4 linked regions of the Coturnix japonica genome follow. The main gene of each other region encodes a partner of the protein of the gene in region 3 in a complex. Links are inferred from orthologs where the notes say so. Each region holds a gene or a part of one and is shown on either strand. Other genes may lie near its edges. The genes, in order: TAF1B, POLR2K, TAF1C and TBP.

What was found.
Region 1: TAF1C (region 3) and TAF1B share a complex: the UniProt entries of both Homo sapiens proteins name them as parts of the transcription factor SL1/TIF-IB complex. The link is inferred for Coturnix japonica from reciprocal best matches to the Homo sapiens genes TAF1C and TAF1B.
Region 2: TAF1C (region 3) and POLR2K share a complex: the UniProt entries of both Homo sapiens proteins name them as parts of the pol I pre-initiation complex. The link is inferred for Coturnix japonica from reciprocal best matches to the Homo sapiens genes TAF1C and POLR2K.
Region 4: TAF1C (region 3) and TBP share a complex: the UniProt entries of both Homo sapiens proteins name them as parts of the transcription factor SL1/TIF-IB complex. The link is inferred for Coturnix japonica from reciprocal best matches to the Homo sapiens genes TAF1C and TBP.

What each region holds. Positions count from the first base shown.
Region 1 is NC_029518.1:87,961,741-87,967,435, forward strand, and holds the start of TAF1B (TATA box-binding protein-associated factor RNA polymerase I subunit B), read left to right. Parts: upstream 1-2,196; 5' UTR 2,197-2,359; coding exon 2,360-2,377; intron 2,378-2,602; exon of another isoform or gene 2,603-2,810; coding exon of another isoform or gene 2,811-2,813; intron 2,814-3,127; coding exon 3,128-3,226; intron 3,227-3,306; coding exon 3,307-3,394; intron 3,395-4,472; coding exon 4,473-4,570; intron 4,571-4,878; coding exon 4,879-4,974; intron 4,975-5,390; coding exon 5,391-5,523; intron 5,524-5,695. UniProt on the Homo sapiens protein: Component of RNA polymerase I core factor complex that acts as a GTF2B/TFIIB-like factor and plays a key role in multiple steps during transcription initiation such as pre-initiation complex (PIC) assembly and postpolymerase recruitment events in polymerase I (Pol I) transcription.
Region 2 is NC_029517.1:116,285,942-116,291,823, forward strand, and holds POLR2K (DNA-directed RNA polymerases I, II, and III subunit RPABC4), read left to right. Parts: upstream 1-2,097; 5' UTR 2,098-2,117; coding exon 2,118-2,192; exon of another isoform or gene 2,193-2,223; intron 2,224-2,993; coding exon 2,994-3,057; intron 3,058-3,761; coding exon 3,762-3,854; intron 3,855-4,023; coding exon 4,024-4,046; 3' UTR 4,047-4,512; downstream 4,513-5,882. Other genes in the region: SPAG1 (sperm-associated antigen 1), read left to right, coding at 5,683-5,822. UniProt on the Homo sapiens protein: DNA-dependent RNA polymerase catalyzes the transcription of DNA into RNA using the four ribonucleoside triphosphates as substrates.
Region 3 is NC_029547.1:8,326,263-8,331,832, reverse strand, and holds the start of TAF1C (TATA box-binding protein-associated factor RNA polymerase I subunit C), read right to left. Parts: upstream 3,264-5,570; 5' UTR 3,172-3,263; coding exon 3,040-3,171; intron 2,666-3,039; coding exon 2,572-2,665; intron 2,413-2,571; coding exon 2,306-2,412; intron 2,220-2,305; coding exon 2,124-2,219; intron 2,041-2,123; coding exon 1,967-2,040; intron 1,899-1,966; coding exon 1,651-1,898; intron 1,574-1,650; coding exon 1,463-1,573; intron 1,376-1,462; coding exon 1,252-1,375; intron 1,172-1,251; coding exon 1,100-1,171; intron 1,011-1,099; coding exon 875-1,010; intron 787-874; coding exon 658-786; intron 555-657; coding exon 380-554; intron 287-379; coding exon 149-286; intron 1-148. Other genes in the region: TMEM8B (transmembrane protein 8B), read left to right, coding at 3,419-3,599. UniProt on the Homo sapiens protein: Component of the transcription factor SL1/TIF-IB complex, which is involved in the assembly of the PIC (pre-initiation complex) during RNA polymerase I-dependent transcription.
Region 4 is NC_029518.1:36,557,320-36,562,213, reverse strand, and holds the end of TBP (TATA-box-binding protein), read left to right. Parts: intron 1-291; coding exon 292-383; intron 384-1,352; coding exon 1,353-1,520; intron 1,521-1,810; coding exon 1,811-1,905; intron 1,906-2,742; coding exon 2,743-2,822; 3' UTR 2,823-3,944; downstream 3,945-4,894. UniProt on the Homo sapiens protein: The TFIID basal transcription factor complex plays a major role in the initiation of RNA polymerase II (Pol II)-dependent transcription.

The sequences.
Region 1 (5,695 bases), on a different chromosome or scaffold from region 3:
CCACAGCTTCATCTCTGCTGCACTTATGCTTGGCACAGCTTTTCCCCTTGACCCTTCCTATATCATGATCGCTGTTAGAGATTGGTTAGACTAAATCCATATGGTTCAGATAAAAGCACCTCTGTCTTGTTTTCCTAATTTCCCTACATTTTCCATCTGTTTCCTCTTTTGAAGGTACAAAAATCAAATTGTGGGTGTTAATAGCAATGTATATCTGCTATAAGCAGGAATCTGGTAGATGTGCCCAGCGTTAATCTTTACAATCTTTAGAGCAGCTGAGGTTGTGTTTCTGCTCCAGCTCTTTGTAGTAGGTGTCTGACAATGGGTAAAGTCTGTAAGGGACTCCTGGGAGAATCTGTGATGCCGAAGTTCTTATCCCGGAGCCAATGAAGTTTCATAAGCAATATCCTGAAGGATAGGCCAAAGGACACGTCTTTTGGTTCAAGATGTAGTTTTTGTGCCTTCACATACAGCAAGTCTGTGCTCAAGAGCCAGAAATGTGGTATCAGCAGTGGAACCCAGTTCATTAAAAATTCAATTCAATGGAAACAACAGGACGTATTATTTATCTAAGCCTTGAATCAATCTGACTACTATGCATAATGATTTTAATTAGAAAAGTGAGCTGAAGCAGGAAGACAGTCTGTCTCCTGGCTTTGAAATTATCATATGCCTATCTGTATGCTTGAGTAACTTGTAATTAGGGACAAAGGTTACACATCATTTTATATGCTGAAAAACCGGTTTTGAGCATGTCATCTCAAAAAAAAAAAAATATTTAAGAAATAGATATAAGACTTGCTACCCCTATTACACTCTGAATTTTTGCTACCAGATTACTAGTCTGCACTAGTTAGTTGATGGTCTTAGGAAACATTCATGGAAGCTTTGCACTCATAAAAAGCCTGAATATGTAACTAGAACTACCAACACTACTCTTTGTACAACTTTTTTGTCTGAAGTTTGGTCGCTTTTCATAGCTTTACCTCACCTGCATGGAAAACATGGCTCAGAAAAGCTGAGCAAATTGTCCACAAGCACAGAACCAGCGCCTGCAGAGTTCTGTCACTGTGCTTCCTTTGCTTTGCCCAGGTGTGATTAGCAAGCAGAAGTCCACTGAGGCCCTGCCTCATCCAAGCAGTCATTCCATGCTTAATTTAAGCCAGTTCTTCAGTTGAATTAGATCCACGGAGCGGCCTGCTCACAGGGTGACTCCAAATCCAGCTCCCAGCAGGAGAAAGGCTGCGTCTTCTAACTGGGACACAGCTCTTCCTGGTTTACCATATACAGAGCACTTCTGATTATTTTTCAAGATGGGATTTCATCATAGAAACCCATTAGAAAAAGATCAAACTCCATCACACGAAAAGGCCTTGCTTTCCCAGAACTGTATTTTCACAAACAACAAAAATATATATGGAAATCAATATAAGAAGTAGGATCTGTTTCATCAGGGTATTAGCTGTATTTCTGCAAGGCTGATGATCACCTTTTTAATGGCAGGAATTATATGCATAATTCTCTGTAATGGGTGTTACAAATGTTCATCCCACACCGAAAAAAGATCACAGTTGGTATGAGTAATAACTTCTATTTTTCATGAACATAAACAGTTTCCCTCTAGCTCTGTACATATCCTCCAACATCAATGTAACCACAGCTGTCAAGGGAGCCTCACCTCTTTCCATGTATATTTTAGCTTTAATTTTTTCCCATGCTTTCACTCAGTGGTTTTTTGGGGTTTTTTTGTTTGTTTTGTTGTTGCTGTTGTTTTTAGGGGCCTAAACCTAAACCTGTTCTCCAATTCTGTGGGCAAATTCATTGCAATAACAGAGCTTAGTGTTCAGACATCACCATTAGCGTAGCAGAAATTAGAGACCTATATCAAGATCTGGAGGTTTGGTGGTTTTATTGTTGGTGTTTTTTGTTTTGTTTTTTTTACTGAAAGCAAATTTCAGATCCTCATTTCCCTCATCCAAGGATCCTGAAGTGCTTTATGCATTTATTGAATCACCAGGGTTGGAAAAGCACTGCTATCCTCTTTAAAAATGAAACATCCACGTTCCAATTGTGAAGTTCCCCATGTTTCCTCAGAAGTGAGGTTGGATATTAGGAGATACTTCATGTCAGACAGAGTGTTGGCACAGGGAGGTGGTGGAGTCACCGACCCTTGGGGTGCTCAGGGAATGTGGAGATGTGGCACTGAGGGAAGGACGCGGTCACAGAGGCCGCCCGAGGCCGCAGGGCAGGGCCGGAACGCAAGCGCCGGGGTTGCCGTTTCCGAGCCGGCCGACAGCGCTGGCGCTCGGCGCGGTTGCCGTGGTGGGATCCCCGGAGCGGCTGCCCGGCACCCGGCGGAATGGACGAGGAGGACGCGGTGCGGGGCGGGCGGCTCCGGGAGCGGCCGGTTTCTCCGGGCTGGAACGGGGCCCTGTGGGCGGCGCTGACACGCGGGGCGGGCGGTGGCTGCGGGCGGCGCTCGGGGCTCCGGTGCTGGGGCGGGGGAGGCCCTGGCTGCGCTCCCGGCCCGGTGTCGGGGTTGAGGCCCGGGCTGAGCGCGGGGCTGTAGGAGGGATCCTCTTCATGCTGCTTCTGTGGGGTTCCCTGTTCTCCCCTCTTGGGTTTCTCCGGGCACGACCCTCCATGCGTTGTGCAGGCAACCCCCACGTGTTTCTGAGTCGTTCTCAATTCCATCTCCAGGGCTCTATTCCCCTTCCTATTTCCGATGGGTGTTTTCTCTTTGTTTTCTCCATCACGTCCTGTGCCCTGTGTGTGATTTACTGAGGCACTGACTTAGTTTCCACGGGGAAATGGTTTTAAGTTAAAAGAGGGAAGATTTAGGTTGGATGTTAGGGGGAGGTTCTTCACTAGGAGAGTGGTTAGGCCCTGGAACAGGCTGCCCAGGGAGGTTGTGGATGCCCCGTCCTTGGAGGTGTTGAAGACCAGGTTGGACGGGGCCCTGGGCAACCTGATCTAGTAAAGGTGTATGTTTGGTGGCCCTGCCAGGCAGGGGGGTTGGAACTACATGATCCTTGAGGTCCCTTCCAACCCGGGTCATTCTGTGATTCTGTGATTCTATGAATGGGGTTATCTGCTATGTGAAACTATTTGTTTTTCTTCCTTTCAGGGGGATTTTGATGAGTGCTGTGCGCAGTGTTCAGATGTGAACTGGGGTCTCACAGATGGAGGCAGATATTATTGCAGAACTTGCCACAATGTTATTGAGGTAAAAAAGCGGAGCTTGTTGGCCTTCAGACTGCTTTCAGTCTGGTGTTTTCCTTGCTAAGATGTGTTACTGTTTTGCAGAGAACTCGAGAAGTTGTAAGCGCTGAAACTTTTCTTAATGCAAGAGTCCAGACAATCTCCAAAGGCTCTAGAAGTCAGAAAAAAACTGGTACGTTGTACACAAAGCTCTGTATTGTGCATAAAAGTGGATGCACTGGTTTACTGAGCACGTTGCATTCAATGGTGGCTGAAAGGAGATAGCTAGTAAGGACCATGAAAAGGAAAGTAATGCATCCCCAGATACTGTCAGAGCTTCTGCAGCCTCAGTGAGTTCCAGAGGCACAGGTGGCCTCCATGAAGTTGGTGGATGTTGTGCATTAGGCTTCTTAGCTTCATGCAGTCCCTTCTGCAATTGCAGTTGCACAAGACTATGTCAGTTTATTTTCATACATGTGAAGGGTTAAGCTGTATCTGCGGTTAGCAGGTAAAGCCAGCATCCTTAATGCAGGGGAGTAACTTGGGGCAGATAACTTCTAAGATGATGAGATGCAAGGTGTGATTGAAGGGGAAAATAACGAGTAACAGCTGTGGAGTGAATGTAAAGAGATTTGGGAGCTACAGAGACTTTTTCTTAAGACCAAGAGTATGTGGAAAAAACTTGTAAATGTGGAGAGGTATTGTGGAAAGTAAATGTAATGCTGTCTGAGGAAATAGTGAATAGATTGGAGCAGGCCTTAGGAGATTCATCATATGCTGAAATACAGTAAGAACTCTGAACATCTGAAAAACTTTCAGTTAAACCTGTATGATTCCATGAGAGACAGTGGTGAAGAACACTGATTTATTTATATATATTTTAATTTGCACCTGATGAAGTACTGCAATGTAACGTGTTCCAGTTTTTCATGCTGAATATGGGGAAGAAAGGACATTTTGTTCTTTCAACAATAGGTTCTACTTAACAACTGGTCACTAGGCAACTCTCTACTCAGTTACAAATGTCATGTTAGAAATGATAGTGAAATATATTAGCATTTGGAAATATGGTTAGAACAGCGCTTGTTCAGTAATATTTCTTCTTTCTTAAGCCTGTGAGTAAGTGGAAGTTAATGGAATATTCAGTGTAATGGTCTTTGATCTCATATCTGAAGTTATTTAATAAAGATGTATCTCTGCCCTGGTACAAGATAACAATATTAAGTGGAAATACCTTGCTTAAGGTTTAAAAAACACTTTCTTTTTAATAGATAAAGGCTCGGAATGGTATGTTTGTGAAGGCTTTCAGCTGGTACTAAAGCAACAAGCTGAAGCTTTGGAAGCATTGGGAGTATGTCCACAAATGAAGGTATGTAGAGATCAGTGTGAATCCTACAAGCTGTGAGTTGTGCACACTGTGCTTGTGCAGCAGGGCTGTTACTTAAAGATACTGTAATTTTGGGGGTAAATCAAATCCCTCTCTTTTTAAAAAAAATATCGAGTGCATGTAAACAAACTTAATTTTCTTTGTAGTTACAAAACATGAAATAAAAACTGGAGGTAATGAAATGAGAGCTGGAATATTATTTAGGTCCCTGGCTTAGCAATTCTGTTCTGTTTTCACATAAATTAATGGTTTTCTAAACCATGCACTAATTGTCCATTTGTGTTTACCAGGATGAAATTCTGTGCAATTTTTGGAGGCGTTACCTTCAGAAGAACCAACAGGCATATTGCAACAAACCATCTGGTGAAACTATCAAGGCATTATCAGTAAGTGAAAAGCTCAGATCCTATGAGATATTGGTTATCTTTTTTAAAGAGTAACAACAAAAATCTTTCTTTGAGCTGCATACCTAACTTTCATTAATCTTGCTCCAGCGAGAATGTCTTCTAAATGGAATACGACATGTCCAGGCTTCTGAAGTTACTTATTTCATTATGCTTTGCTCCTATAAATCGCCTCCTTTCTGGTCATTGTAGCAGATTGGGATGTAACAGAATCACAAAGAAATTTTTTTTTCAAGGTTTCTTTACATACCGGTGATTCATAGAGCAAGTAAATATGTGAACAGCTTGCATTTCAACTTCATGTACTAAATCTTGTATCTGTTGTGCCTTATTTAGTTTATTCAGATTAAAACAGCAACTAACAGTAGATAATACTATGTCTTATTTACAAAAACCAGGGATGTGAAAGCAGTACAGATAGGGACAGTGAACCAGAGCGACCCAGCCTGCTTCATTTTTTATCTGTCTCTGAAAGTGATGGGGATCTACAGACAGATTGCAACTATGCCTCATCAGCTGGCAAGGTCTCAGGTAGGAGCAATGAAGTGAAGTATCTGGAAACCATTTTTGTATACAACTTAGGTGTATTTGTGCAGAATGAATTGGAAGGACTTGTTGATATGTAGCTGGAAAGTGTAAAGTTTTCAATTCTACCTGTAGCAGAAGACTTCTTTATTCCCCCTTTTTTTTTCCCCTCTAAAGT
Region 2 (5,882 bases), on a different chromosome or scaffold from region 3:
CACATCCACCTACCAGCAATGAGGATAACTGATGCTACCTAGGGAGCAGTGTCGGGGTGAGGGGGCTCTCTCAGTCACCTGGACTGCTGGACACGAACACACAGCTTCACCTCCTTATCTAGCACACTGCTGGGCTGAAGAAACCGACCATAGAGGCCCCCACCACCGAGAACAGCCTGAGGAGGTCGGCGGGGCTGCCAAAGGAGATGAAAGGCGAGGCTGCCCTCCCTCCCGGCCAGCTGGCTGGGAAAGGCGGGGATCCTGCCGCCTCCACAGCTCGCCGCCCAGCTTCAGGGCCCGTTGCCCTTAGTGAGAAGCCGCTTCGCTTCTCTCCACCCACACCGGCTTCTCACGTGCGGCTGCAGCCGCTTTCCCTCGCTTGGGTTTGAACTGCCCGCCTTTACCAACCGCTCCGTTCTGCCACCCCAGTAGCGCAGCCCTAAGGCGAGAGCAGGGCGGGGGACGGCCTGAGGAGCGCTGCCTCCAAGGATGCGGACGGCACCATCTGGGCTCCGTGCTCTCATCGTACTTTATACTCCAGCTCGGCGGCTCCCGCCGCTCCCAGCCCTCCATAAAGCGCCCCGGTGCGGCCCCTCTGCCCGTCCCGTTCTGTCTCTCTCAGGAGCCGGGCTGAGGCGTTCCCGCTGCTCACAGCTTCTCAGAGTCGGGCGGGAGGCACCTTCAGCGGGTAGCCCGAGCCCTCACAGGTGGAACGTTGTCTGCACCAAGAGCTTAAAATCTGAGATGTAAGGGTGCTGATTAATTCATTTTAATTAGCTTATTTGTACCCGACAGCTCAGGAGCTAGATAATCATACAGAACTTCTGTTTTTTCTTTCATGGTTTACGCTTACGGCTCCACCAGAAACACTGTGAGATAAAACATGCTTTAAATCGTTGGGAGTAACTCCGAATGTAACGCCTCCACCCAGGGCAGAAAGATGGAGGTTCTCCGTGGTAACTAAGGCTGAGCAGGGCGGGCTCCATCCCCCCCAGAGCGGGGAAACGGGGCGTCTCGGTGTACGGGTAGTGCGACCGGAGGGTAACTGTAACGGGTAAAAACATTAGGGTTTTTGCGCTGGTTCCTCGTTCCATTTTAGAATGCGAATTAAAGAGTTTAGAAATGGAATCCAGGGTTTCCCAAAGTGCTTTCTGTAGCAGTTTCACGCCAGTCGGAAGAATTTCTCTTCAGGACCGGCGTTTATCAGCCCGTCGGAACGGGGCTATACCCCGAGGGAGGCGGCGTGAGGCACAGAAGTAATGGACGTTTAAAAAGACTCCATCCCACCGGGGAGCAGTTAAATGATGGATATAATCAAGATAATGAATGATTTTCTCGGGACAATCGATATATATTTTTTTCTCATGGGGTATAATTAGTAAGTAGGTTTTAAAGCATCACCTCGATGCTTTAATCATTTCGTCAAACCCGTTTTAAAATACAAAACGAGTGCGGGGAAAGATTATCGGCTTTACTTTAATTTCAGTGATTAGTTACTTGTGAGGTGTTAATTACTTTGTGTCCATCACCGGAGGAAGGGATCGTTCCGTTTTGGTTGGTTGATTTTTGCTCCCGGCAGCAGCTCCCACCTCGGAGGACCCGGGGCAGCGAACATCACTGCCGTGCACGTCCCGTTATTCTTACATGTGTTTTATTCCGGCACTAAGAAGTTACACTTAACTTTATTTTCGCACAGCAGCAAGACAAAGCCGATGAGCCGCCTAGAAATCCTTAGCACGTTGTTATTACTTCTAGCTTTCCCCAGGAGACGGTTGTTATTCGGCGTTCGGAAAGACGCATTTCCTCACATCAGGGAGATGTTATCTACAGAGCAGTATTTGTTATACGTTCTTACGTACCTGAGGACGTGCCATTACTCACACAGGGACGCCTAAGGGGCACCCAGCACTCGCCCAGCTGTAGGGCTGAGCCGGTGACTGACAGCACCGCGGCTTGCCAGTTTGTTTCAATGCGGGAATACATGGCACAGACCGCAGGGTACCGAGATTTAGTTACCAGCGCCAGGCTCAGCTCACTAGCGCTTCCAACTCTCACTCCCCCAAGGCTCCATCAGCCGCTATCCGCTGTAAACCCGACACAGCGCCTTAAGGACGGCGATGCAGACCCGCCCCCTCCGGCTTTGCGTAGTGACGCCATCATTCGGCGCCGAGGGGACGGCGAGGAGTGTGGAGGTTGGTGCCGCTTTCGGCTTATCCCTGCCGGGTTGGTGGTGGTGGTAGATTCGGGGTGAGGGGGGAGTGGGGAAAGGGTCGACCAAGCCCCTGGGGGTCAGTGGGGAGGAGGCGTGGCTGGCGCTGAACCGAGGCGGGCTGGGGGGGGATCATTGAATCATAGGCTCATAGAATGAGCTGGGTTGGAAGGGACCTCAAGGATCATGTAGTTCCAACCCCCCTGCCTGGCAGGGCCACCAAACATACACATTTACTAGATCAGGTTGCCCAGGGCCCCGTCCAACCTGGCCTTGAACACCTCCAAGGATGGGGCATCCACAACCTCCATGGGCAGCCTGTTCTAGGACCTCACTGGTCTCCTAGTGAAGATCTTCCCCCTAATATCCAACCTAAGTCTACCCTCTTTCAGCTTAAATCCATTTCCCCTTGTCCTGGTATTATCAAGAAGGGGAGAAAAAATGCTTTCTTTCTCTGTATGGTCACAACCTTAAAACGTAGGTCTGCAGTAATACCTACATGTTAGGTGGGGGTTGCTAAAAAATGAATTGTTTGTGGAGTAGTTGTCTGATATTGTGAAGGAATGTTGGTGAACCTGAAGGCAAAAGGTTAGCGTGCCAGGACAAACAGAAGTCCTTTCCAATGTGTATCATCTTATGTAGCATATATTAAACAGAGCTTGAATATTTTTGTATTTATTTTAAAAGAACTTTTTCAATTTCTGTCAACTTTAGATGGAGATATTGAAATATTTGTGTAAGACAACAACAAAAAACATGTATTTTATTTGTTGTTTTTGCTTAGAACATGGATTCACAGAAGGACGTTCAGCCCCCAAAGCAGCAGCCAATGATTTACATTTGTGGAGGTAAAGAAAAGACATTAGTGGTATTCAATGCTCTAATAATGAGGAATGTGCAGTCATAGTGCCACAGAGTACAGAAATCTACATAACTGGGTTGTGGATCCTGATGATGCATTAAGCTTTATGCACTGATGCTCCCATATGCATGGATTACTTGTGGTTATTGATGTGGAAGTCGTTCACTAGAACCTCTGTTGCTGTGTGGGGGTCCTGCATCTCTAGAGGATGATAGCAGAACTTTTATATATTGCATCTTGGAGACAAAGTTTTTTTGGAAATAGTGTTGTCATTCAACTTTCACTAATGCACAGTTGTCAGATTTTCTCTACCTAAACATAAGTTAATAAAGTGAAAATTGGAGCTTTTGAGTAACCACTTTAAAAGCCTCAGAAAAATTTAGGCTTAAGAAAATAAACTTGGTGGCTCGGAGGGGCTGAGAGGAAGGTTTCATTAGTGGAGTGTGGAATGGTACAGTAATGTTTGGATACTTTTTAGCAATCTAAGTTTGCCAATTCTTTTTTTTTTTTTTTTCCTTAACAGTATCTTAATATAATTCAGTTACTTATTAAAATTCACTGCAATTATTTTCTGTTATGCTTTGTTTGCTAGTAAAAGGAATTAGACCATTGTTACATCTGAAAGCTATCTGTGCTTTAGATATGCTGCTTTTGTTCACTCATTGCTATTCTCCTTCTCCATCATATCAGAATGTCATACAGAAAATGAAATAAAGGCAAGAGATCCGATCAGATGCCGAGAGTGTGGGTACAGAATAATGTACAAGAAAAGAACAAAAAGATGTATCCTTTTACAAAGGCAGTCGAATGCATTTGGGAAGCTGTGGGGCAAGCTGTGTAAGAAAATTGACTTCAGATTTATGCATTCCCTCTTTTTGTTCTCCTTGACCCCTTTCCTCCCCTGATCTTTCCTTGAACTGCAACGCATTTTTCTTTAACTGCACAATTCCAGTGGTGGTTTTTGATGCCCGGTGATTTGACCTGAAGATACATCAATTTTATACTTCAGTTTAATATTTCTGGCAACTTTGCTCTGTAAATCCATTGGTGTATAAATGCATAGTTTAGTGGTTTAAGATATTAAAATATTAAACTTCACTGTGATACTACTTGCCATACCATCTCAATTCTGTCTATACTACTTTTAGAAATGGGTTTCTTCCTTAAACTTTAGTCAGAATGTGCAGCATTCTGTTAAATTCATTGGTATTATATTCATTTTTGAGTTAAGTGTTAACCTTGTTTTCACAGCTCACACCTAAGCCTTACCTGTGTTTCAGCTCTTCAGTGTTTTTTGGACTCCTGTGAACTGCATAAGATAATCTTGGTTTGAATAAATCCCAGTGAAGACATATTGAAAGTCACGCAAAATCAGGTCTGAAATTTGGATTTGAACTCGACAGGACCCAAATCAGGATAAAAATAAATGTGTAAATAGAGATTCTCAGGCTGTTTTGTGACCTTGCTTGTACTCACTAAAATAAGTAGGTCTACAGTATAAAGAAACCTTGGATAAGGTAAAACTGAAATAACGTCATTTTGCTTTTCGGATGATTTCTCATGAGTCTGTATTAAGAAGTGGTTGCCGTTTTGTACTGATAAGCCCAAACTTTTTGCATCCATTTTCCTGTTCAGAACATTTATATTCAGAATATTTAATACTAAAATACCCATAGCGCCAATTTGTCTTAAAAAACACTGCTGCTTTGTGTGTGGTGCTAATTTAGCCTGATTAAATGCTTGCAAATCCAAATTTTGTTTCCAGTGCTGATGAGGCTGTTGAAAGACAAACATGTCATTTCACTGTTATCTGTACAGTATGATACCACTATTAGGGGGTGTGCTGGCTGCTGCAGAAAGCAACAGGGATGGGTTTTAGTGGGCCCAAGGTTGTGGGCAGTGGTGAGGCTCAGGGCACTTGGAAGAGCGTCGGACTGGATTTAGACTGGATGAAATACTACACTGAAAGCTGATGTTTTATGGAAGCTCAAACTCAACGGCTGTATTTCTGAAGGGAATACCCTCTCTGAAGTCAAATCATTTTTAAGAACCATTTTATGGAAATTATATTTAATAAAATATAAATTAAAGCAGTGTTATATGTTCCTAATAGTCAGAACGTTGGAGAGCTGCAGCTCGAGCGACCCCGCGCTGACAGGGCCGGCCGAGCCCCTCAGCTATTCACTCACTACGCGGCGCTCCTTCGCCATCGCTCCGCTGTGCATGCGCGGGCAAGGCGGGCGTCCACGGCGGAGGTGAAGGCTGTTAGGAGCGCGGTAGGTGGGTGTCAGGGCCGTCGTGTAACTCCGTGTCCTCCACAGAGCCGGCGGGGCTCTGCGGCTCCTCGCAAGGGGTTGGCTGTGTGGTTTCTTGCGGCTTCTCCGTCTATTACCTCCCCACAGCGCCGCCGGCCGCCATGTTGTACATAGCAACGGCTGCTATGTTGCCATTGCTGCCTCTCGGTAGATCTCCGTGAAGAAGAAATCGTGGCATCAGGTCATCAGGCAGTAGTTCTGCTGCAATTAGTACCTTGTAGCATTAAAACACGGCTATTCCTTAAATTAGCATTGCTCTAGCCCCCAGAGATTTATTTTTCTTTTAATGTTTAGTGATGAGTGATGCGTCAATAATGTATTTGCTGGACCAAGGAACTACTAAAACATATCAAATACCTATTGGTCATCTCGACTACAAGTTCATTGAAAAATGTACGGATGTTCCATACCTGGAAAAGATTCTCAAGGTGCTAAGGTAAACGTTATCTTTAATGAACTTCATTACTAATTGTATTCCCATTCTATCTCTCTTGAA
Region 3 (5,570 bases):
CCCAGTTTGTCCCTACATCCTCTCCCAAGCCATCAATATCTTAACTTGCACATGGCGTTGAGTAGCATTTGCCTTTTGAAGCACGCTGATGTAGCACTGACTGCTGGCTGCTAGCCCTGCAGGACCTGCACAGCCCAGGACCACTCACCAGATGCAGGGATGCTGAGGCGCTGCTGGAGCAGGTGCTGCTGGTGTGGGAGCTGTATGGGGAGGTGAGGTAGGCAGCTGGCAATGCTGTGTAGCCGCTGTGGTGGCCCTGCGAGCTGGCAGGCCATCTGGCTGCCCCCTGCAGTAAGACATGTCAACAATGAGCTGGTGAGGCAGCATGATCAGGATGTGGACATGAGGGGAATCTGCGTTCCCCTACCTGGTTTCTCACCTGTGTACTGCAGCAACAGCAGCTCCTGAGTATGAGAGGTGCCCAGCAGCACTTTATGACTCCTTCCAGACTCTCCCGGCACAACATCAGCGAACAGAGGGGGGAATTTCATCATGTGTGCCCATTTCAGCACAGGCACCAGCGGCAAACGCTCGTCCAGCAAGTACACGGCAAACTGAAAGGGGGCAAAACTCAGCAGGGTGCCCCCCACCTGCATCCAAACCAGATGCACGAGGTGGGTGGGGAGGTCTGGGGACACTGAGCCATGGAGGACTCACCTGGGTGGCAACGAGGTACTGGCAGGGGTGAGCCCTACCCAGGTACATGGGCAGTACCACGCGTTCACCCTTCTGGCACTTGGCTTCCTCACCCACCTTGAAGAAGTTGAAGTGGCATCTAGTGGGGGCCTGCAGTGGCATAACAGGGTGCTGTCAGCACCATGGGGCTGACATAGGTCACCCCACAGCCCACCCTGAACCCCGTTCTCATGCTCACCCGAGTATCCAGGCACAGGATGCCAGTGCGGTCAGCACAGCTCAGCACCCGCGGGTGAGCAGTGAAGTCACTCCAGCGCCAGGGTGAGTGGTCCCGGAAAAACAAGGTCTGGGGGTCATGGCGGAGCCGCTGCAGCCTGTAGGGAAAAGGACAGAGCTCTTCCTTGCTGTGGGGCACCCCTGCCTCCTGCAGCACCAAACACTGGGGATCAGAGCCCCAACTCACCCTGTCTCTATGTTCCATAGATAGACAGCTCCACTCTGCGTACAGACTGACAGCTCCCCAGGCAGGTGTGGGCTGTGGGGCAGAGACATGGCGTTACATTGGAAGGCTTGTAGCTGAGGACCTTCCCAGAGCTCTGTATTCCCACCACACACCTGACGGTGAGGCAGGAAGCTGGCACATCAGTGTGGATGACCTGCAGTGAGCTGGGGGCAGCCCCTGTCTTGCCTGACATCCTCCAGACACCACAGTAATAGTCAGAGCGAACGCCAACAAAGTCTAGTAGGAGACAGGAGAGAGGGCAGATGAGAGAGCAGGGATGCCACTATCTCTGTATGCAGTGCACATGTCCCAGGGCTTACTCACCCTGCCCATCCACCCGGGCAGCAGCTACTTGCCGGATGCGCCCGTTGAGCTCAAACTGCACTGGCAACCCCTGGGCCCGCGGCTGCTCCTCCAGCACCACATTCTGGAAATCTGGAGTGCAGGCTAAGGGCACTGCCACACAGTGCTCCCCTGTCCCAGAGTCCCCCAAGTATCATAGGAAAGGATACAGAGGTGGTTCATGGCCAACCCGCCAGGGTACACCAGGCATCCCATGTCACTGCTTGCATCCTGAGGGGGCAGCCAGGCTAGTGCTCCCCCTGTGGAACTGTCATCGAAGAGCAGTCTGGTCCACTGTAGCAGCAGCTCTTCATGCACGCAGTCGGCCAGCAGTCCCAGTGGCACCTCAAAGAGCCAGTCCCGGCACAGGTGAGAGAACAAGCGCAGGTGGTTGGCATACGGATGCCGAGGGCAGCCACTGTGAGGGGACAATCAGTGCCAGGTAGGTGTCGGAGCCCACCGCCCTCCCAACCCAGCAGCACTCACCGCCTGGCTTCCATATTGTTGATCTTCTTCACCATGGATGTCATACGGATGGTTGTGTCCTTGGCACTGCCTTTCTGCAGGGAGGAGAGAAGTGCCACTATGAACAGAAAGGAGGGGGTACACCAGTGCCCCCCTCAGCATCACCAAGGACACTGACCCCGAGGCTGTAGTCTCCCAGGTGGAAGTTGTTGTGCAGCAGCTGCCCCAGGGAGCTGAAGGCGTCCTCAGGATGATCCACAAAGAAGTGCCCTAGCTGCGTGGGGACAGCAGTGTGGGGCTGTGCAGTGATGTCATGGTGGAGCTCAGCCCTGTCTCCTCAGCAGCACCCAAGCCCTGTACCTGCTTGGCAAAGTCCAGCGCAGCCCCAGACTTCCCAGTCTGCAGCTTTCTATGCAGGACACCGTGGTAGAGAATATCCTGAGCGGTCACACTGGGGACCGAGCAGCCTGTGAGGGGGCAGGGGGCGGCGGGGGGGGGGGGGGGGGGGGGGGGGGGGGGGGGGGGGGGGGGGGGGGGGGGGGGGGGGGGGGGGGGGCTGCCGAGTGCGTCCCAGCACCAGGTGGCAGCCCCATTCTCAGCCCCCCCTGTGCCCCCTCAATCCTCACCCACGTTGGGCGGCAGCAGCGGCACCGCCGCGGGCTCAGCCGGCGTCCAGCTCTCCCCCTCGTGGCTGCGGAGGGGCACGAACGGCGGCAGCACCTGCAGGGACAGCGGGGAATGGAGGTGAGGGTCAGTGCCCCCTCAGTACCCTCAGAGCCCCCTCAGTACCCTCAGAGCCCCCTCAGTGCCCACAGAGCCCCCTCAGTGCCCACAGAGCCCCCTCAGTGCCCACAGAGCCCCCTCAGTGCCCTCAGAGCCACCTCAGTACCCTCAGAGCCCCCTCAGTGCCCTCAGAGCCCCCTCAGTGCCCACAGAGCCCCCTCAGTGCCCACAGAGCCTCCTCAGAGCCCCCTCAGTGCCCTCAGAGCCCCCTCAGTGCCCTCAGAGCCCCCTCAGTGCCCTCAATACCCTCACTGCCCCCTCACTCATTGCCCCCCAGGCCTCCCCCATCCCGTTCCCCCGTTACTCCTCACCTGCCGCCGTCCAGGCCCGGCCTGCAGCACCTCTTCCCGCTCCCCCCATCCAGCGGCCGGAGCCGGACGCCCCTCGTCCCTGGTGGGGCCGGATCCGAAGTAAGAAGGGAAGAGCACGCCCGGGAACTCCATGGGCGGTACCGGGGGCGGTAATGGTGAGCCCGGTACCGGATCCGGACCGGAAGTGCTGCGCACGCGGTCCCGACGCGGTAGGAAGTTGGATGACCGGGAAGGGCGAGGCCTAGAGTGCGACAGCGCCCCCTAGCGTGTGGGAGGTATCATGGCGAGCAGAAAGCGGGGCCGCGCCGGTTGTGAGTGACAAGCAGAACCGCCAATAGGAAAATTGGGGAGGGAGAAAGGGGGCGGGACGGATGACGTCATGGTCGCCCCTGCGCGGCGGGGCTGCTGGAGCCGCGCGCCCCTCGGCAGCCGGCGCGGTGGGATGGGGCGGCGGGGCGGCGGGCGGGGGCGGCCGCTCACACCGATACCCCTCCTCCGCCTGCCCCTGCTGCTCCTGCCCCTCCTCCTCCTCCTCCTCCTATGGCCGCCGCCGCCCGCCGGTGAGTGTCGAGGGGCCGAGGGGGTCGGGGAGCTGAGCGCTGCGTGGGGGATGGGGGTGAGGAAGGGGGGAGGTGTGTGCTTGTATTAATGGGGTGAGGATGGAGCGCAGACCGTCCGCAGCATCTGCCCGCCGTGGGATGACAGTGTGTGTGATGGGGTGCGGGATGTGTGTGCAGCGAGATGTGGGGTCAGTGTGCAGCAGGGCACGTTGATGTGTGGGGTACCCCACATTACACCATGCAACTGAGTATAGGGTGCGTGGGCAGTGGGGCAGGACGTGTGAGCACAATGGGGCATATTCATGTGTGATGGGAGATGGCAGTGGGGTGTTGGCATAATGGGACATGGAGATGTGTGTTCGGTGGTTATGCTTGACAATAAGCAGGCTGTGGGGCACGCGTGCAATGTGGTACATAGGGAGGGCTCAGAGGTGTGCGTGCTGGAGGGACACAGGTGGTGTAAGTGCACAGGGACACCCAGAGAGAGGGGTCAGACTCATGGTCAGGGGTTACGGGGATCTGCAATTGCAGCGTGTCACCTGGACAGAGGGCTGTGAAGTGGGGCAGCAGGGATGCATGCAGTGCGGGGGATGTGTGTGCAGTGAGGATGAGTGGGGGGACACTGGAGTGAATACGTGATGAAATGAGTGTGCTGTCGGGCTCTGGAGCTGCCTTCATTTGGGGGCTGCGGAGGGGTATGCGGTGTTGTGTATGGGGGATCACGGAGGAAGGGGGCCGAGCTGTGGAGTAGAAGCGCTATGGGGCCCTATGGGGCGGCTGGGGGAGCTGTCCGTGGTCCTGAGCCCGACATCAGGTGAGCTGTCCGTGGTACTGACCCTTCTGGGAGAGGAGGTCGCCTCTCTTCGGCCTCTGGCCTGGGGCAGAGGCGCTCTTGCTTTTCTCCTTTCTCTCTTTCATAGATAGGAAATTCTGTTCCATCTTCCTGCTTTTCTGCCTGTGCTGTGGCCTCACTGCCGCAGGGCTCCAGCCTGACTCTCCCTGTGCACCTGTGTGCCCTCACTTTACCTCAGATGAGTGGGCTCCAGGAAGTGTAATGGGGTCAGGAAGCTCTGCGTGCTTTCCCCATGCCATGTCCTGGGAGCACGTTCACCATCTCTTTCTCTTTGAGGTCCACTGCCAGTTCACTGACCCCAGCTGGCAGGGAGCTTCGGTCCCCTGGGGAACTGTGGGCTGGTCAGGTGGTTCATGGAAGGGAAACTGTGATTGAGTGCACTTGCACGCAGATGGGAATTTCATGCCCATTTCGTGTTGGCTGGCAACGAAGGGAGGGGGAGCTGCCTTTGTTCCAGGCAAGGGAGCAGATGCATGTCAGTGTTCAGCCTGCTGGGGCTGCACACACACAGTACAAACACACGTGCATGCAAGCACATGCGCATGCTCCCAGCCAGACACTGGAAAAAGCAGCCCTTCTTCTCAGCTGTCCCCTTCCCTGCTGTATACATCCTCCTGGCCACAACCCTGCTCCCATTTGCTCTTCTGCTAGCATCCTCTTTGTTGGCTGCTTGTAGAGACTTCTTATTCTTGGTGAGTAATGCGTGGATCTCTTAGGCTGGCACTGGGGAAACAGTACAATAGTAGAATGAAGTTACTGCTCCTGTTTGGAGATCGGATCTTCCTTGTTTCTGCTGTACCAAGGAGGTGTCTTCCTTCTCCTGCTAAAGCTCCTGAAATCCCCAGGCTGCTGGGCTTTTGGGCAGTGAGACATTCCATGCAATAGCAGAAGGTGTCTTAAACATAGAGCTGTATACAGTCACACACACCCTCGTGTGTGGGTGTGCACGCCTTCATTTAGCTGTGCATGCAGACAGCGCCCACACATGCATATGTGCATACATATGTGCACCATTCCTCCTCCACAAACACAGGAGAGCTTAGGAGCTGTGCAGAAAGTACATAGCTCTCTAGTTCTTGGTGCTGAATGGTGGAGACTGTGCCACGGGTGGTCACAGC
Region 4 (4,894 bases), on a different chromosome or scaffold from region 3:
TTGGTGTTAAGATCATTGCTGTCATTGTGTTGCAAACATTAGTAGTATTTGTGTCGTGTATGTGGTAGTTAGAAATGAGCTTAGTAAAAGAGGAGTGCAGTACTAAAAATCCTTCCTGTTCAACTCTAAGTGCATTTGAAACTAAATAAAGCTTGCTTGAATGAAGAGTGTTCTGCAAATATACTTGAATCTAATTATTTCTTTGCAATGGCTACTTAGATTATGCAAACTCGGTTTTAATGTACTTGTTACATTTGTGTATCACTAATAATTTCCATGCTCACATTTCAGCGTTTTGCTGCTGTTATTATGAGAATAAGAGAACCACGTACTACTGCACTTATATTCAGCTCTGGAAAAATGGTGTGCACAGGAGCAAAAAGGTAAGCTCAGCTGGTAGGAGCAAACTAATTAAGGCCATCTTTTCTTTTGAAATCACAATGCTTTAGAAATATAGTTTCTTTTATACGGTGTTTATATACATGTTGTATATGTATACCCATATAAAATGGCTATGCACTGTAACTGTTTAAACTATAGGGGCAGTGGCAGGATAAGCACAATTTGGTGTTTGTTTCATTTACTGTGGGTCAGGAGCTCCAAGTCTCTGGTACCTGTAGTCTGATCTGTTCTTAATGGGATCACTGAGGCATCAGACTTGAAAACTGGCAGGAGAGAAATTCTGCTGTGAAGTCCTTTGGGAATCCAGAAGGAATAACCTAATGAGCAGAGATCGTGGAATCATGAAATAATTTGGGTTGGAAGGGACCTTTAAGATCATCCAGTTCCAATTCCCTTGCTATGGGCAGGGACACCTCCCTCTAGATCAGGTTGCTCAAAGCATCCAGAGAGCATCCACAGCCTCTCTGGGCAACCTGTTCCAGTGTTTCACCACCCTCACAGTAAATAATTTCTTCCTAATATCCAGTCTAAATCTATACTCTTCCAGTTCAAAGCCATTTCTCCTCATCCTGTCACTACACACCCATATAAAAAGTCCCTTTCCAGTTTTCCTGTAGGCTCCCTTCAGGTACTGAAAGGCTGCAATGAGGTCTCCTTGGAGTCTTCTCCAGGCTTAAGAACCCCAGCTCTCTCAGCCTGTCCTTGTAGGGGACAGAGTAGAGTTTTCTGCTTCATAAACAGTGAATGCAGTGTTAAAGTGTTCGGGACCTTGGTACTACAACTGAGTGTGCAAACCAGTAGTAGTTGTTCATTTTGGATGTAAACATTTTGCAACTCTCCTGCAACACACGCAATGTTTCTTTCCCAGTTAAATATTTGTGGCTTGGTGCTGTTTGCTTGAAGTAGTGCTTAATAAGGGAAATAAGCTGGCTCTTTTTTTCTCCCTTCAGCGAAGAACAGTCCAGACTGGCAGCAAGGAAGTACGCAAGAGTTGTTCAGAAACTGGGTTTTCCTGCGAAATTTTTGGATTTTAAGATTCAGAACATGGTGGGCAGCTGTGATGTGAAGTTTCCTATCAGATTAGAAGGATTGGTACTCACACACCAGCAGTTCAGCAGGTAAATGAAGGTTTGCCTACCTTTCATTCTTGCTGTGTTGTGACTAGCTTAGAGCGGCATCTGTTTAGATTGTTCCCTTACACCAGAGAGGATGCAGCATCTTTGTTCCTATCCTAGCTCTGCCTCTGGAGTAACTGATGTTATTTTCATGGGTAGATATTGGGCAGCGATTCTTTGCTACTCATCCCAAATGGTTTACATCTGCACTGTCCATTTCTGCAGCCCTGCAGATGAAGGGCAAGGACATTTGTCTGTTGGCACGTTGAAACACTGTGACTCTTCTCTTACAGCTATGAGCCAGAATTGTTTCCTGGCTTAATCTACAGAATGATCAAGCCAAGAATTGTTCTGCTTATTTTTGTTTCTGGAAAAGTGGTTTTAACTGGTAAGTCAATATTTTCTTCCAGTAGGTTAGATTTAGACTGCATTAGAAACAGTGCTCCCACAAGTATGCAATTTATTAGCTGCTCTTCTTCAGAAACAACAGTACTGGGAAAGGAACAGACAGCACAGTATTTTGTGGATGAGAACCCACAGAGCAAACCACATGTATTTGGTTAAACCATATAAGCAACCATCTTGAATCCTGATGAAGAATGGCGGGTGCCCAAAAAGAGCCTATCTAACGTTCCCAGCAACATCCATAAGTCTGCTTCTGTTCACTGGGTGCGCGTGACTGAGCTCAGTGTGTTGTAACAGCTTGGTTGGAGGCTGCTGCCATTTCCCTTTGATGCAGCAGCCAAAGAAGGGGAGATACCCATGCTCTGAGGCTTCCTTAACCTTGGGGATTCTGCCTATACTCTTTCTTCCTTTTCCCCCTTCACTGATAAATGAATCCACAGATGAAAGAAGGAACATATACCTGCACTATGGCCTCTGCTGGCCTCTGCTTCAGTCATCATTTCCTTGTTTCCCCAGATATTTGCACTGTTGAATAAAACTGCTGTTGAGGCCTTTCTCCATAAACATCCTATGGGGCTGCGCTTTGCAGTTGAGTGTACTGAGAAAACATGCTTAGAAAATCTCATTTACAAGTATGTCATAAGCATGAAGATGGTAATGAAACAAACTCTCAGGCCTTCATTTATTACCCTTCTGTTTATTCTAATAATGTGTGTTCTATAGGAAATGTCTATTTAAAGGAAGAATTACATGCAGAAATAGAGAACTGTTTGGTTCTGAAGAGAGAGAGGGAATTAAGTCATTTTCTCTCTTCTTGCAGGTGCTAAAGTTCGAGCAGAAATCTATGAAGCATTTGAAAACATCTATCCTATTTTAAAGGGTTTCCGGAAGACAACGTAACAGTTTCTACATACTGCAGAGAAATTGGGGGGTACATTTAGAAAGGCATCGCGTATGGCACAGCAGTAACAAGAGATGGACTTCAGTGAAACTGCAACACCAGACTTGGACTATTTCCCAGTTAGTGCCTATTTCCCTGACACTCAAGGGGAATTGTTTTATCGATGATGATGTCTACTGAGTTACTGTGAGTTGCTTTGTTGGGCTGCTCCTTGGGCAGTCCCTCCGAGTTTTATTTATATTCTAGCTTTTAAATAGTTTTAATGCCAGTTCTATTAATAGAAAATTCATAAATTGGTTTAAAAGATGAACGCAACCGTGTCACTCAGTGTATAAACCACTTGAGTTGCCATGTATATATGTTTTAATTTCCTTCCATTAAGACCATGGTTTTTATAATTTCCAAAGTTAAGCTTTTAAATTCCTTCAGTTTTCAATTCCTTTCGGTGCCAGACACATTCCCTCTTTCCAGTATTAAGCAAGGCAGAATAAATTTATTAATGAAAACAGCTCACTGTACATATATATAAATATATATATATATAATATATATATATTCCTCCTCTTTTCTCCTTCAGCTCCACATGTACAATAAACCCTGTTTATACAATTATGGGAACTGTCTTAATGAGTTTTACAATTGCACAGCTGGGAAAGTGAAATATATGAAGAGGTTCTTTTCAGTTTAATCTGGATTTTTGACTAGCACACACACTACTGTCATCTGGAGAAAATCTGAACAACGCTCTGGCTTGCTTAGCAGTAGTCATATCCTTGGCAACATTCAGCCCGATTACTTCCAGTGCACTAACAGGAAAGAGAAGACTGGCTACAGGAGTTTGTGTTCAAGTATGTGTTGCCTCCCATTCAACAGATGGGATTTATGCAAGTCTTACACAGCCACACTTGAGTGAATTGGAACAAAGGATTCTTGGTTAGCTTCTAAGATTTCTTATAAATCACTTTTGTATTTTACCAACTATGACAGTCTCACTATATTAGTGTTCATATAAAATGTCAAAGCCCTTCCAACTGGAGTCAGTGTGTACATAATCTCCCCTTTGAAGTGTGCTTGAAGCTTAATGGGCTGAGAACTAAGAATAAACTTTTTTTTCTCCAGTACATTTCCAGTAATAGCCTTTTTATGACTTGCACATTCTTTCAAACAGCTTTTATCTAAAACTAACCCAAATGTAACCATGGTCTCTTAATTAAAATGATGTTTCATTCCAGATAAGTAGTTATGGCTGGCTTTGCTACCGCACCATATGCAAATCCTGAGTGAACTTATTAATTCTTAATCTTTGATTATTGCTGTAGTGGTGCACGCTATGCACCGCTATTAGCAGGTCTTTCAATAACTGGTTTAAATGATCTTAGCAGGAAGTTGATGTACTTACCTGGGCAGGGCTACATAATTAAACAAGATACAGCACACAGCAGTGATGCAGTATGTGGGTAAGCTGGTCCAGTGTTCATCTGTATCGCCATCTGTGCTGCTGTAGCATCTGCAGAACTGTTAACTATGGCAGGAAGACTTTACACACTATATCATATAGTTTTCATTCCAATCAGCCAAGCTGTGCTGTAGTGACAGGATGGTTTGTGCTATTCCAGGAAACGACCCTTCTAGAAGTGTGGTGATGAGTAAACAGCTTTACACTTACGGTGCTCTCTGCCTGCTCAGTTGAGGATTCACAGCCTCTAAACTAAAATCACTCGTGGAAGAATCACTGGTAAACAGGCATGGAGGGCTCGAGCAGGATAAGAGAATAAGTAACTGAAGTAAATTCTGCACTGTAGTAACTATCTTAAGTCAAATAGAACAATTACTTGTTCATTTTATACCCAATTGCCATTAATCACTACACCTAACAACTGCCAAGATCCAGCGCAGCATTTGGAAGAGAAAAGCATAATTAAGTTGCCTGTTTAAAGGCAATTTAACCGTTATACAGCTTAATCATAGCTATGACTGCTGTAACCTGCTGAGCATCGGCATGCAAGTGAGCTTAGAGCTTTCCTCTGTGTATTACTGCCCATTCTTATAAAGCACAGTTCTCTCAGGCAGT